Drosophila melanogaster: one gene and its partners. The protein of the gene in region 3 interacts with the protein of the main gene of each other region in a pairwise test. Each region holds a gene or a part of one and is shown on either strand. Other genes may lie near its edges. The genes, in order: gpp, CG5062 and CG11248.

Region 1 (4,442 bases), on a different chromosome or scaffold from region 3:
GAGGGAGAAATGTAACTTCTTAACAGAGTAACAGTGATTTGTAATACACACTATTTGGAATAAATACGCGTGTACTATTAATATTGTTTTTAATTGCTATTATTTCGTAACATTTTTAGACAACGTTGAAATTTTCAAGTCAAATCAGAGACGAAATCGTTTCGAAAATAGATAAGCTTATTGGGAATTTGACTAGTGCATATTTCGTTTATTATCCCATTTGGTCGCTTTTTGAGTTAGCAAAAAAAAGTTACATAGGTGAATGACAAAAGTCAGTCGATGCTGTTGCAACAACTTTTAATTGACAGAAAACTTGCGGTCAGGATAAATGGTCGAAGTAGCCAAATGGCACGCATGTTTCCCAAACCCCTCTAGGCATAAATCTACATGCATATGTATGCACATACATGCATACAAATACAAATGTTTAGCCGGTTCAACTAGTTGTTAATAATTGGTTTTTGGTTTTCGATCCTTTTGCCTGTAATCAACAAGAAAAAACCCCTCTAACTTAGCTTTTGGCACTTTTCCTATTTTCGGGTCTTGCATGTTCCTTTAATTGGATTGTGTTTGCTACCACTGACAGCATTTAAAACTTTTTATGGACGTAACCAAAATCACAGAAATCACTGGTAAATTAGTGAGCCCTGTTGGAACTCGCATGACTATTTAAATGGCAATGTTTATTCATTAGCAACCCATTTCTCATCATAATTCAGTCAGTACATGAGCATTTTAGTTGAAAACCTTGTTACTAATCATATTAGTAGACAAAATGAGAAATCATTTTTAACCAGTTTAATCATTTAAAAACAACAATGTTTACAACATTCTGACAAACTAAGATCTTATATTTATTAATTTGACACAAAGTTACGTTGTGACCGTGTCAAAAAAATTTTTACGTTGTTTAAAATCTGCAAAATCTGTTCTAAACACTGCGTTTAATACTTGTGAGCTTGAAGCAAATAAACATAGTTGTCAAACGACTGCTTATAAAATATCCACTTTAAATTTATAGCCCTTATATGACACTTGTCTAAGGGCGAGCGCCCACTGTCTTCCCACACGTTATAATTAACTGGCCCAGATTGCGGAGTATCCGGCACATGGGAAACCGATAAATAAATACGTTTGACTTTTCACAACGTCTGAGTATAATATTACACTTCCGCTCTTATCGGAGAGGCAAACAGTAGGACCAGTGAACACACCGCCGTTAATATTACACATTTTCAGAAGAGTTCTTCGCTGATTTAAGTTCTTATTTCGCGTTCGGTTTAAAATATATTACTCACATTTCGCGCACTCAGCGCTCTGCTTCTTCTCCCTCTCTCTTTGCGCTTTGTCAATTGATTAGCCGTTAGCCGACGCCTCTCTCTCACTGCTCTCTTTAAAGGTTCTTGGTTTCTGTTTTACTCCATTCGATCTTGTTGTTGTTGTTGTGGGTTTTGGTTGTTTGGTGTTGGTTGCATTCCAGTTTAGAAGATGGGGAAGACGAAGACGTTTGAAACCGCAGTACTCTGATTAAGCAATATGATTAACCTTTGTTGTATTTCGCATTTACTATGTAATATAAATTTCGTTGTCAAGCGCTGCAAGAAACACGGAGATATACAAGATTACGTTTGACACTTTAGATTAGCTTTTATTCTTTTTCATACACAATTGTATGCACACTAACACACGCGTGTAAAAAACTCGCGACGGCTGCTGCTGCTCTTCTTCTTGCTCCTCCACCTCTTCTTATTTTTCAAGCAGCAGCCTCTTTTTCATCGTCGCTTTCGCTCTGCTCTTCGCTTCGTATATTTCATACAATTTTCTTTGTTGCAATTTAGGCATTTGTTTTAGCACACATGCACACTAAACACAGGCACGAACACACAGAGGTATTCACAGCAAATTACATTTTGCAGCTCTTTCACGCCATACTGATTTGCCGCCTCGCTCTGGCTCACACACTCACACTCTGGCTACTCACGTAATTTAGCTAACTTTTCGTATTCTTCCTTTGCAGCCAAATCTCACAATTGGATCACTTCGATTCGCTGCGAGAACAAGCACGAGTATTGTATTGTATAATTAAGAATTTTTCTCCGATTTGCTACGACCCCAAAATGTTTCAGTACACACATACACCACACACACACGCGCGCGACGAGGAAGACGACGCAACGACACGTCCGTTATGTTCCAGCGAAAGAAAGAAACAAAAACACAAAAGGGAAACGGAGAATCCCTAACGGGTGGCGGAAAAATGCCTAACGCTAAAATGGAATCGAATATTCGATTGTTCACCACGATTTAATGGTGTGATTTTTCTCAAAATTGCGTTACTTGAGAAATAATTCAAAGCGATTAAAAAATAAAAGCATAAAATTGTGGAAGACATTGGTAAGTCCATGCAAAATTGATCGCTGAATGCATTTCTCTTTTCTGGACTTCTTACTATCTTTAACGGGATACATGCAATCTATTTGCAGATTTTTTAAATTTTTACATGATACATATGAATATTTTTGAGCTATTTAATTCAGAAATTAGCGACGTAAGGGCGTAAAATAAACACACATACGAAAGCAATTTACGCATTGACCATTCCGTTACTTAGTTTTAACATATGCCTGATATCAGGATATTCCATTGATTCGAATTGGCTTTGGTCCACTGTCCGCTAAACAATATTCAGTGTGCCCATTCCGCGATTGTATCCATTAGTGTGAACAACTCGTGATCGAAAGTGGACCCATAAGCATAAATTAGCGTTAATCATAGACTCAAATTGAAATATATATATTTAACACTTTCTTGCTTTAAAGACCGTGCTTTATTTATTCCAACTTACAAGTTATTTTTCCTTTTATTTTTAAGTTCTAAATTTCAAATTATTTCCGTGGTATCAATGGAAATAAAAATTTGTTTAGGTTGTAAACAAAATGCATCGAAAATATCAAACCAAGATAAAAAAGAACTGATAAAGCTGATGTGTACTATGGATGATAGCTTGATTGCTATGAATAAAATATTTATATTATCAATATCAATATTATAATATCAATATGAAAATATGAAAACGGTCTGGCAGCACGGTTCCAAGCCAGCGGGACCGTTTGGCGGTGTGACCAGCTGCTGACACTTTCGGACTCTGGTTTTCTTCGTCAAGAAGGCGTCGACCACACTTACTTTGTGTTGATTTTTAGCGGCGGTTGGTCGTGTGTCGGATAAAGCGGAACGAAGACGAAGGCGAAGAGCAGACGGAGGCGTCAAGTCAAACAAAAGTAAAGTGCAGCAACTGGCAGCGCAGACAAGTCGAAAGGGCAGCCAATTAAATGTAAGAAGCGACGTCCGCTGCTTTACAACAAGTATCGCTGATTGTCCAGCCGAGTAACAGTATTTTTCACGAGGTGCGCAGAGCGAAAGGAAAATCAAAGAGGAAAATCTAATACACAAAAAGTGAAGAGCCAAATTGTTGTTAACAGAGTGTGTGCGTGTGTGTGCTGAGTGCGGCAGTTGTTGTTTTATAGGTGAGAGAGAAAATCGGAAAAAAGGGCGTCGCAGTTTGAAAATTGATGTGTGCATAAAAATCAAGCGCTGCAGCAGCCAAAAAGCGAGAAGAGAGCGCGAGGCAGAGAGCGTGCAAAGCGGTCAGCGAGAGAGCGGGTGGCTGCTGCACCTTCATAACTGTTGTTGCAAAGGTGAGTGCGTGCCGAATATTGTTTTTGGTTCAGAATTGTTTATTTAAGTGTACTCTCAACCAGGCCAACACACTCACAACCACACGCCCGCACGTACCTGCGACCCACGAACGTGTGTGTGCGTGTGTGTTGGCCTGCCTGCTTATTTTTTATGCGGAAAAAACATTGATCCAAACTTTTTCGGGCCTCAAGAACCTCATTTTTGGCTCGCCCCACAAGGCATTAATATCTGTTGTGAACCGAAATGGGTTTAAATAAAAGCTGGTCAGCAGATAAAAGTGAATCCAATATATATGTACGTACATATGTATGTCTGTAGGGAGCCTTTGTTCATTTCAGCTACAAACATCTGAGAAAGAATAAAGTTATTAAGAAATATTTTACTTTGGTAATTACTTAAACAGAACCAGTTTGGCCTCTGCTGTCATATCACCTCGCCAGTTGAATTCGCGCCTCAAAATCGCTGACTTTCCCTGTCATTGCACTTTGATTACCATTTGTTAAAGCCACCGACTCCCCCCGCCCCATCGACAAATGCATGACACAATTAACGTTAATAGCGACTTCAATTCAGTACATAATAGCAGGGAATGCGTCTTGTGGCTTGGCAACAATCACACTTCCCCCTCCTCCAATGCGCCCGTTGATCAATTCACTTAGCTGCACACTTGTGTGTGAGATCGTCTTGGGCAAGTTGGCTTTCTATGGGCTCATCTTCCTGTTTGTTGTCATCATAGTTGGTTGCAT
Region 2 (4,442 bases), on a different chromosome or scaffold from region 3:
AGACATCCGCGCTTTTGTAGATCATCCAGTTTGACTGTGATCACCGTATCGATTTCCTTTTGCCGCTGCGCCTCAGCTGCCCGCTCCCTTTCGAAGGCCAAGTGTTCCTCCTCCAGTTCGCGGCGACGAGCCTTCTCCCGTTCTTCGATTTGGCACGAGACACTGGAGCGCAGACAGGCCTTTTTGATGGCCTGCTCCTCGGCCTCGCGCTTCATTTGCTCCTCGTGCTTCTTTCGATACTCGATCATCTCCTTTAGTTCGCGTTCACGTTGCACATAGAAGCAGGCCTTCATTTGGCTAAGATGCTCCATTTGCTCCATATTGGCACGCTTGAGTTCGGCGGCCATTTTGCGTTCCTTTTCGGCTGCCTTACGTTCGTTTTCTCTGTACTTTCGTTCGAGGCGTTCGTGTTCCGCCAGGAAATGCATCTCCTCGCGATTATCCTTAGCATCGAGAATCTTTTGGCCGACTGCAAAGAGAACATCCCGTTTGCGTTTCTCATCCGCCGCGATGGCTTCGCGTTCCGCTCGCTGTTGTTTCAATTGCTGCTCCTTGAGCTTTAGATACTCGTAGGCCCTGTTCTCATCTCTTTGATCCTGTTCGCACATCATCCGTACGAAATTGCGATGCAATTTCGTATACTTATTCAATTCATCCCGATAGGCCAGCTTACGGCGCGATTTCATCTCGCCCTCTGCCAATTCAGCCTTTTTATACTCATCGACGGCGGCACGCAAGTCTCGCGCCTCCAATCGCAGACGATCCTGGGCCAGGAAACGTAACTTTTCGCGATCAGTGATTTGTTCACGCACTGCGTTGCCAAATTGCCGGCGCCTCTCCTCTTCGGCCTGATCTTGCTGCTCCACCGTGCCCCATTTGGCATTGTTGTAGTCGCGATTCTTGCGAGCCATCTCCTCGTCATGATCGAGTTGAATGCGATTGAGTAGCTTCCTTTCCTGTATCTGAGCCGTCCACATGGCACTGCATTTGGCCTCGGATATCGCACGCGTGGCATCCTTAACTCGCACATCTGACTCGTATTTGGCATCCAAGGCGCGGTGTAGTACCTACAATGGGTGGTGGAGATATACTTTCGGAAATATGGCTAAGAACCATAAACCAAAAAACTACCTGCAATCGTTTGGCCTCCGCACGCCGATCCTCGTTGACATCCTCATCGGCCTCGTCATCGTCCCTCTTCTGGGCCTCGCGCTCCTTCTCCCTGCGCTGCTCATCAATGTCGTGGAAATAGTTACGCATACGTTCCGCTTCGGCTGTATGATATTGCTGCTCCTCCATCCGGCGATCCTGTTCCGCGCGACGCTCCTCGGTGGTACGCGGCCTCGATGCCCGCATGCGATCCAGTTCGCACTGTGAGAGCTCCGCATAGCCCTTGGATTCCCATGATTGACCCTTGATGTGAAAGAACGTGGCCTTGGCACCGTCGTATTTTCGGGCTCGCGGTGGCGCCTTACCGCCACCCACCGCCGAACGTGTGATCTTCTGTCCAGGCACGGCTACTGGATTCGGTAGACGTGTGCCGGGCGGTAATGGTCGCCTCTGAACCTTTGGCTTTACGGGTCTATCACGGCGTACGCCACATAGTGGCTCCTCTTCGACGGTCGATAATGGTGGCGTTTCCAGATAAATCGGCTTCTTAAGTCGATCATAGCAATCCGGGTGCAGTTTCATCGCAGCTCGCGAACGACATGGCATCACCATTGGCATCTTGACGAATTCTATTCTATATGTATATCGCGTTTGAAATTGCAAATGGCCAGAGGGGTGTGGGGTAAAACGCAATAGCAGATTTCTCGCTTAGCTATTGAGTTTGTTCCTTTGTTCGGTTTGTTGGCGTGTCTGTTTGTGTTATTTGCTCGGAGGCTCTTGTTTTGTTTGCTTGTTTCGTATATTTCGTTTGTTTATCCAATCGAATCTGGCAGGTTAAATCTACATGAATTCAAAGCTTGCTGGGTATAGCATTACAATTACAGGGTATTTGCTGGGAATGTAGGCTCACAGGTACTTTTTGAATCATAGAGTTCCTTTAATAGGTCGGTTATACATTTGAGTATCCCAAAATTAAACATGCTCGTGTACGCTGCTTCTACACTTGTTCACACCTGACCACTTGAGTGTCGTTTTTTGTCGAGTGGCAGGTGAGAAGGAAAAACTAGAGGATAAGTGAAGGGGGGGGGGGGGGGGCGAGGATATATGGAAAGCTAGTTGGGGGAAAAAGGGAAAGGCTGCCGCCGCTGCTGCATTTACTTCCGCCTGCTTTGGTTGCATTCGAAGGCGTTGATGCTTGCATTTTGGAATAGCCCCGACAATTTGCATTCTTTGTATGTAAGTGCCACGCCCATGGCCCGCTTGCCCCACCGCCTACTCTCCCTTCGAAATCCAGCCACCAGGTAGGTGGCATGAAAATTTAATTACACGCCTCGCTGAAACGCAGTGCCTGAATATAGGGGTCGCTGGTTTATTTTTTTTATATATTTTTTTTGTGAAAATCTCGCTGTTGCCCGTAGATTAGGCTGGTGAGAGAAAAAAAAGGATAATGGAGGAATATATATAGTTCAACAAGCTGGCTTTTAAGCAGGGCTATAATACCGCATGTCACTTGCTGCTCGAAAGTGCTCGAAAATGATTATTTTTGCTCAAGTTATGCTTATTTTACGGTATTTTGGTATATGTATAACTTAACTAGCCGGAGTCTTTTGTGCACTCGATACTGACCAAATTCCATTTTAGTCGTCATATGACGAATGCTGGAAGAGAATTCGAAACCGAAACTCAATATCCAGCCCATAGTGTTTGTCTTGTCTATTTGTGTGGCGCTTGTGTTGTTGGGCGCACAAAGAGACATCTCCATCTACTACGCTACTCGACACCCAATACCAAATACTCGAGATTCCGATGAGATGGTGTGGTGGCCGTGGGGCAAATGGTTGCCTTCACTATGGACAACCAACAGCGACCACCTCTGACTGCATGGGTTCCGCCCGAAATACACTCCTGTTCGCCAGACATCAATAACACCGATGTTTCTCACATCGCGCTGAGCGTGAAGTTTTTGCCATAAATATGAATTATTTTTTTTTTTTGGCAAGCAGCTAAAAATCATATTACGTACTATAATATATACGACAAGGGGGGGCATCGTCTCCGTAAAACTTTTCTCACATTTCAATGGCAATAAAAGTGATTTAATAAGGCGCAAAACAACACAACAAAAGGGGCAAAAAAAAAAAAGGGGGCGTACAAATTTTTGGGCAAGGGCAGCGGGCAAGCCAGCCAGAAAAGCGAAATCAATTTGATTTGTCGCCGTAGACGACGACGACGATGGTGGGCGGTGGGACGATCCACCGACCACGCCCATTGCGTGTGATTAAGTGCGCGTTTAATGTGCACGCCATGGCCATAAAACAAATTGTATGCAATCCTGCCACCGAAAGCTTTCGCAATTTACTCCCCACACAACTCTGGAGGAGATTTACCCGGCTTCATCTGTGTGCGTGTGCGTGTGCGTGTGCAATGCTACTACAACTACTACTACAACTACTACAACAACAGCCTCCGTGGGTTTATTCCTCTTTTCTCGCAATCCTTCTTCATTTCAGAGTTCCGTAACTGATTTTGACCCGTAGTCCGTTGGGGAGGCTAAAAACTTTTACAGCTCTCGCTCTGTGCGAGCGCTTTGAAATGTAAATACGGCTCATTATTTCCAATGCCTTGCCATTCATTTGCAAAGTTTCCAGTTTGCCATGGCCCTCACACACACTAACACACACACGCAGCTGCAGCAGCAGCAGCACAACACACACACAGTGGACCTCCGCTCACATGCGCACAGTCACCATGGGATAATTTCCGGTCCACTGAAAATGATTCCTTGGGCATTTAATCGTGAAAGTCATTAAAAATCACTCCCTATCCACAACTACCTTTTAGGGTGGCAAGATTGCAGTCCAAAAGTTATTTGCAACCAACGGTACACATCAATATCCGAAAAATGGCTGTACAAATAGTGTCACAATATACATATATTGAAATTAAATCCAATTTACTGGACTCTTGAACCCACTGTGCTGGATGGCAGGACTCTGTGGCCATCGGTTCACCTTTAATTAACTGTAATGCCATCAGGCAGCAGGACATCCGTTGGTCAACGTGTGTGTAATGCCCTTTTGCTTTCCCTTCAGCATTTGCCTTTTCCTTTACCACCCAAGTCACCACCATCACCACCAGCAGAAAATGTGTGTGTGCGAAAGGTTTATTATTTTCACTTAATTTTTGCTAGACTTTTTTTTTTTTTTTTGTTTTGTTTACTTCAGGTTGCAGAACCTTTTGGCTCCGGCCATTCAATTTACGTGCCTCTAGGACGGTCCTGCCCCAAATGGCAAATCATCACAGCTAGACAGAAAAATAAGATAGGCATGGGG
Region 3 (4,442 bases):
CAGGCTGCACAAAGTCCGCTCGGTAGAATCCCTCTAGCGAATGCAAAGTGGCCACTAGCAGGCACAGTATTCTCTCCCAGTTGATCAGCAAGGGACCGAGGGCGCTGAGCGGCTCCAGTGCCGACTGTCTTTGCCAGATTTCGAGTGTTTGGACTGCCTGTCGATGCTTGAGAAGCAGTTGTAACTGTGACTGCAGATGACTCAGATAGTAGTGATACTGCCGCTGGAACTGCCTTTGGTTTTGAAGTGTGTATCCGCCAGAACACATAAGCAAACGTAGTTGTCTGGGCCACGCTGCTCCCAACTGAAGCTGGAGAAGCGTCTGCGCGTATGTGCTGGACTGCTGCAGATGTCGCATTGGAGGCGCAGGTTGAAGGGAATGTATTTGACCCGAGGCATTGAGCAGTAGTGTATGGTAGTCGCCGCAAGTCGCCTCAAGCGCCGAGTTTTGTTCTATGGGTAGTGCTGCCGTGTTTTCCGTAATTGTGATCTCCATGGGCGAGCTGACATCTTCACCCAACTGAGAGTGGTTGTTCAGGCCCCAGTGGTAGAGCCTTCCGTCCAGAGTGCGGGCCACCGTGTGCTCTAATCCAGCTGCAATGCTGCACACGCCCATGCTGTCTAGTTTCTGCAAGCGCATCACATTGGCCCTCCGGATATGATCCCCACTGCCCAGGAGACCATTATTGGAGGCTCCGAATGTGAAAAGTTGGGTGTGGAGCAGAGCGTATCCTTGGTGAAGAAGGTGCCTTGTGTTAGCCGCAACGCTGCGCTCCGAGTGGCCACTGCTTATGGATTTTACAGAGGCCCGTTCATCCTCGGGTTCTTCCTTCGCACTGGCCACCGACAGCTGGAGTGCATCGTCGGCCAGGTTGTAGGGAGCTACTAACATCACAAAGTGCTCGTTTCCGGCTGCTAAGTCCAACAGTTCCTTGCCCTCTTCGTAAAGGCGCATGTGCCGAGGCTGTTGTTCTGCCTTGAAGACTTCGCCGCAGCTGCCCATGACATAGGTCTCCCCACTAGCGCCGACGAAGACAACGCCCTGGGCGGAGCAGCAAACCCGTCGGATGCGTACGCCCTCAGCATGCAATTCGAGAGGGTCGAAACCGAGGGTTTGCCACGCATGTGGATGACCCACATCCCGGCCAGATCCCGTGGCTTGGCGCTGCACAGAGCCATTGGTGAGGACTACGAATAGTTCCTGACTGCCGGAGCAGAAGTCCATATCCACAACATCGGTACGCAGGAGTTGAAGATCCATGTGTTCGCGGTTGGCCTGCAGCTTGGCGGAGTAGAGGGCGTGGTCAGTGGTCAGAAGGAGCAGTTCCCCGCCGGCATTGCTGCAAATCCGGGATGCGGGAAACCGCTGCAGGGGCGGCAATCCGCGCCAGTGAAGCTGTAGCTCCCTGCCTTCATGATAGATGGTGAAGGACTCCCGCTCCTCCTGACCCCCAAGTGCCGAGTCATCCGCTGCACTGGCCATGATGTGCAAATTTTTGTTGGGGTTTTGGACAGGGCCAAAGCTTTGTAACACGACGCAATTGCTCGATTTGTCTGCAGGTCGTTCTCACATCGTGCACGTGCTCCGGTCCACGCTAGGCACTACTGGCACCAACGAACATCATATAACTTGATTCGGAATGCAACTCTAGCTGCCACGATAAAATAAATTCTGTTTTCACTTGTTCTTAACTGGCTAATAAGAATTCATGTTTTTGTGATGGTTTTTTGGATTAGTGTGACCAGCGCTATCGAGTCCCAATGAGAATTTATTAAGTAAGGGTGTTCGGGTAAAAGTGACGTTCTAAAATTGGGCTTATCACTATTTATTTGGTCCATGCAAATTGTTGTTTTATAACCAATTTTGAAAACACACATAATACCTTATACGTAAACTCAATATTGTAGTTAGCTAGAACTCTTATATAAATTTAAATAACTCCTTAGTTGCATTCGCCATAATCATGGAACCAGTCAACACAAAAAAGTTATTTTGGTATTTTTTTGCGATACATCAATTTGTTTTAATATGGTCATATTGTTTTTGCCATCAGCTGTTCGACTCAAAAGTTTTTGCATGTTTTGTTTATTTCGCTTAAAATGTAGTTTTATCGTTAATTAGGAAAAGTTACCCACGGTAAAAAAAAACAACCGTCAACAATTGTTCAGAAACATCAACTAGTACGACTCAGTGGACACCTCCGTGTGGTACTGCTGGTTTGCATACGCCCACAAAAGTTGTTTTAAGCCACAAACTCACCCTCCTAAAATAAAATTTTTTCAGCTCGGTTATGGATTTGGACTGCGAGGGCGCTACAGCTTTGGCTGACGACTCAGGGCACTTTAGCTGCACTAGCGATGATGGAGTAGGAGATCCTGCTCAGAAACCGGCGCCGCAGCCTGAACCGGACCAATCGATTTTTCTGGTGCGGCAAGAGCTGCTTCGGACGCGCAGTGAGGTGCAAAGGCTCTTAAAATCGGAGCAGTGGTACAAGCAGGAGCTTAAGTCCCAGAAGCACAGCAGGCTACAGACGCTAGAACGATTGTACGCACAGGAACGGAAGTATTTGATGGAGAACCAGAAGCTGCAGCAAGAATCGATCCGCCTGCACACACAATGCGCCACTCTGGAGAAGCAGCAGGAGCAGGGCTCACCATTTTCCCCTGGCTCATCGCCGTTTAAAGCAGACTCGGAGTCACACGACTCCTCTTTTGAGGCCAAACAGCAGGAGGCGCGCCTACGGGATCAGCGTCAGTTGATCGACGTGCTCCGAAGGCAAAAGAAGATGCTTCTGGACGACATCCAGAGGATCAGTCTGGAACACGATGAAAAACTTTCGCAGTTGCAGCAAACTGTTGTCGGCATGGAGCTGGAGAGCAAGCACGTGACTGGAAAATGCAAGCAACTACTTGACCTTAAAAGTCAAATGGAGCACCAGCTAGAGCTAAGAAGCACTACCCTACGCAGTGTCACCGCGGAGCGTGATCAGCTGCGCCAAGTCATTGCTGAGCTTAACGAGACGCTGCAAACGCAGGAGCATCTGTTAGCGCTAAAGGAACAGGAGTTCCTGGATTTGAAACAGTACTACCAACAAAAGCTGAAACGGGAGAGTAGCATGGAAATTATGCACTCTTATAGCATGAAATTTCACGAAGAGATCAACAGAAAAACGAGTGAAATTGCCAGCCTTAAGAATTCTCTTAACGAGCTTCAGGCCGAGCTGATGCTGATGTCTCACATGAAAGAGCAATGCGAGGAACAGCAGCGTCAGCTTGAGCAACTGGAGTTCGCATTGCAGGCACAACTTTTGGAGGAGACTCAACTTCGGCAAAGCAATGCTCTAAAACTGGAGCAGGTGGAAAATTTAACAATTTCTTTGGCTTCGTTACAACTAGATAAGGAAGGCTTAAAAGAAAATTTAGGTGAGGCGCAAAAGACCTTGAAAAATCTACAGCAGAAGGTGGACATTCTTCAAAAACAGTATGCCGAAATGTGCTCCTTGTGTCAAAAGACTAAACAGCAATTGGAACTGGAGAAAATCGAGATTGCCAAAATGAAGCAAAACGGTTCCTTAAAGGAAAGTGAGCTAATGGAGAAACTCAAAGATTATGCAGCGCAGTGTGATGAGCTGAGAAAAGCGTTGGCCGAAGCAGAGTCCCGTATCGATGTCCAAATCAAAAAGACAGAGGGCTGGCAAGTGCAGTTGAAACACAACCAAGCGACCCAAACGGACCTCGAAGATCCGATTTTAGTTCAACGCATTGAGACTTTGGAACAACAACTAGCGGATGTCAGGAGCCAAAAATTGCACACAGTTTCGCTGCTCCAAATACTGCTTCAACAGCAAGAAGCTAAAATCAAGAGCACTAACGAAATGGAAGCAGACTGGCAACAACTGTTAGATGCTCTGCAAGCTACTCAAAGCTTGGAGCAGGAAATGCGATCAGAACTACAGCATAAGACGGTTGAATTGGAGCACCTGAATGAATTGTTCGCTGGACAAAATGATGAACTGCAAAAGCTCCAGAAATTGAGCCAAGCGCAGGACGAGGAAAATCGACTAGAGTTACAGCTTTTGAAGAAAACATTCCAAGAGAATCTGAAGATAAACTCCGCTGCGTCGATTAACATGCAAAGGCTGCAAGGCCAGGTAAAGTCTTTGCTAGATGAGAAGGAGGAAATTGCGCGAGAAGAACGCAAAGCAGTAGAGTGTTTGCGATCTCTTGGTCACGTTCTTGAGATGGAAACAGGAAGGAGGCTACCACATATAAAAAGCTGGCCTCAGTTGGCCAAAATTCTTCGAAAGGAACTGCGAAATGGGAGGGTTAACAATCGAAAGGCTGAAGAGCTTCCTGGGCTTAAAATGAAGCTGGCGGAGATCAGCGGAAGGCATCAGCAAGCTTTGTCAAAAATTAAGGTATGTTATGTCTTACTCCCTTAA

Evidence for each region.
Region 1: the proteins of CG11248 (region 3) and gpp interact in a two-hybrid assay, tested with the Drosophila melanogaster proteins (one large-scale study listed by BioGRID).
Region 2: the proteins of CG11248 (region 3) and CG5062 interact in a two-hybrid assay, tested with the Drosophila melanogaster proteins (one large-scale study listed by BioGRID).

The regions. Positions count from the first base shown.
Region 1 is NT_033777.3:6,404,631-6,409,072, reverse strand, and holds the start of gpp (grappa), read right to left. Parts: upstream 2,217-4,442; 5' UTR 1,982-2,216; exon of another isoform or gene 1,596-1,981; 5' UTR 1,299-1,595; intron 96-1,298; exon of another isoform or gene 1-95. UniProt on the Drosophila melanogaster protein: Histone methyltransferase. Methylates 'Lys-79' of histone H3. Required for Polycomb Group (PcG) and trithorax Group (trxG) maintenance of expression. Also involved in telomeric silencing but do not in centric heterochromatin.
Region 2 is NC_004354.4:5,180,453-5,184,894, forward strand, and holds the start of CG5062 (uncharacterized protein), read right to left. Parts: upstream 1,918-4,442; 5' UTR 1,729-1,917; coding exon 1,132-1,728; intron 1,068-1,131; coding exon 1-1,067.
Region 3 is NT_037436.4:21,678,016-21,682,457, forward strand, and holds the start of CG11248 (uncharacterized protein), read left to right. Parts: upstream 1-2,034; 5' UTR 2,035-2,137; exon of another isoform or gene 2,138-2,217; intron 2,218-2,284; 5' UTR 2,285-2,291; coding exon 2,292-4,418; intron 4,419-4,442. Other genes in the region: Als2 (amyotrophic lateral sclerosis 2), read right to left, coding at 1-1,483.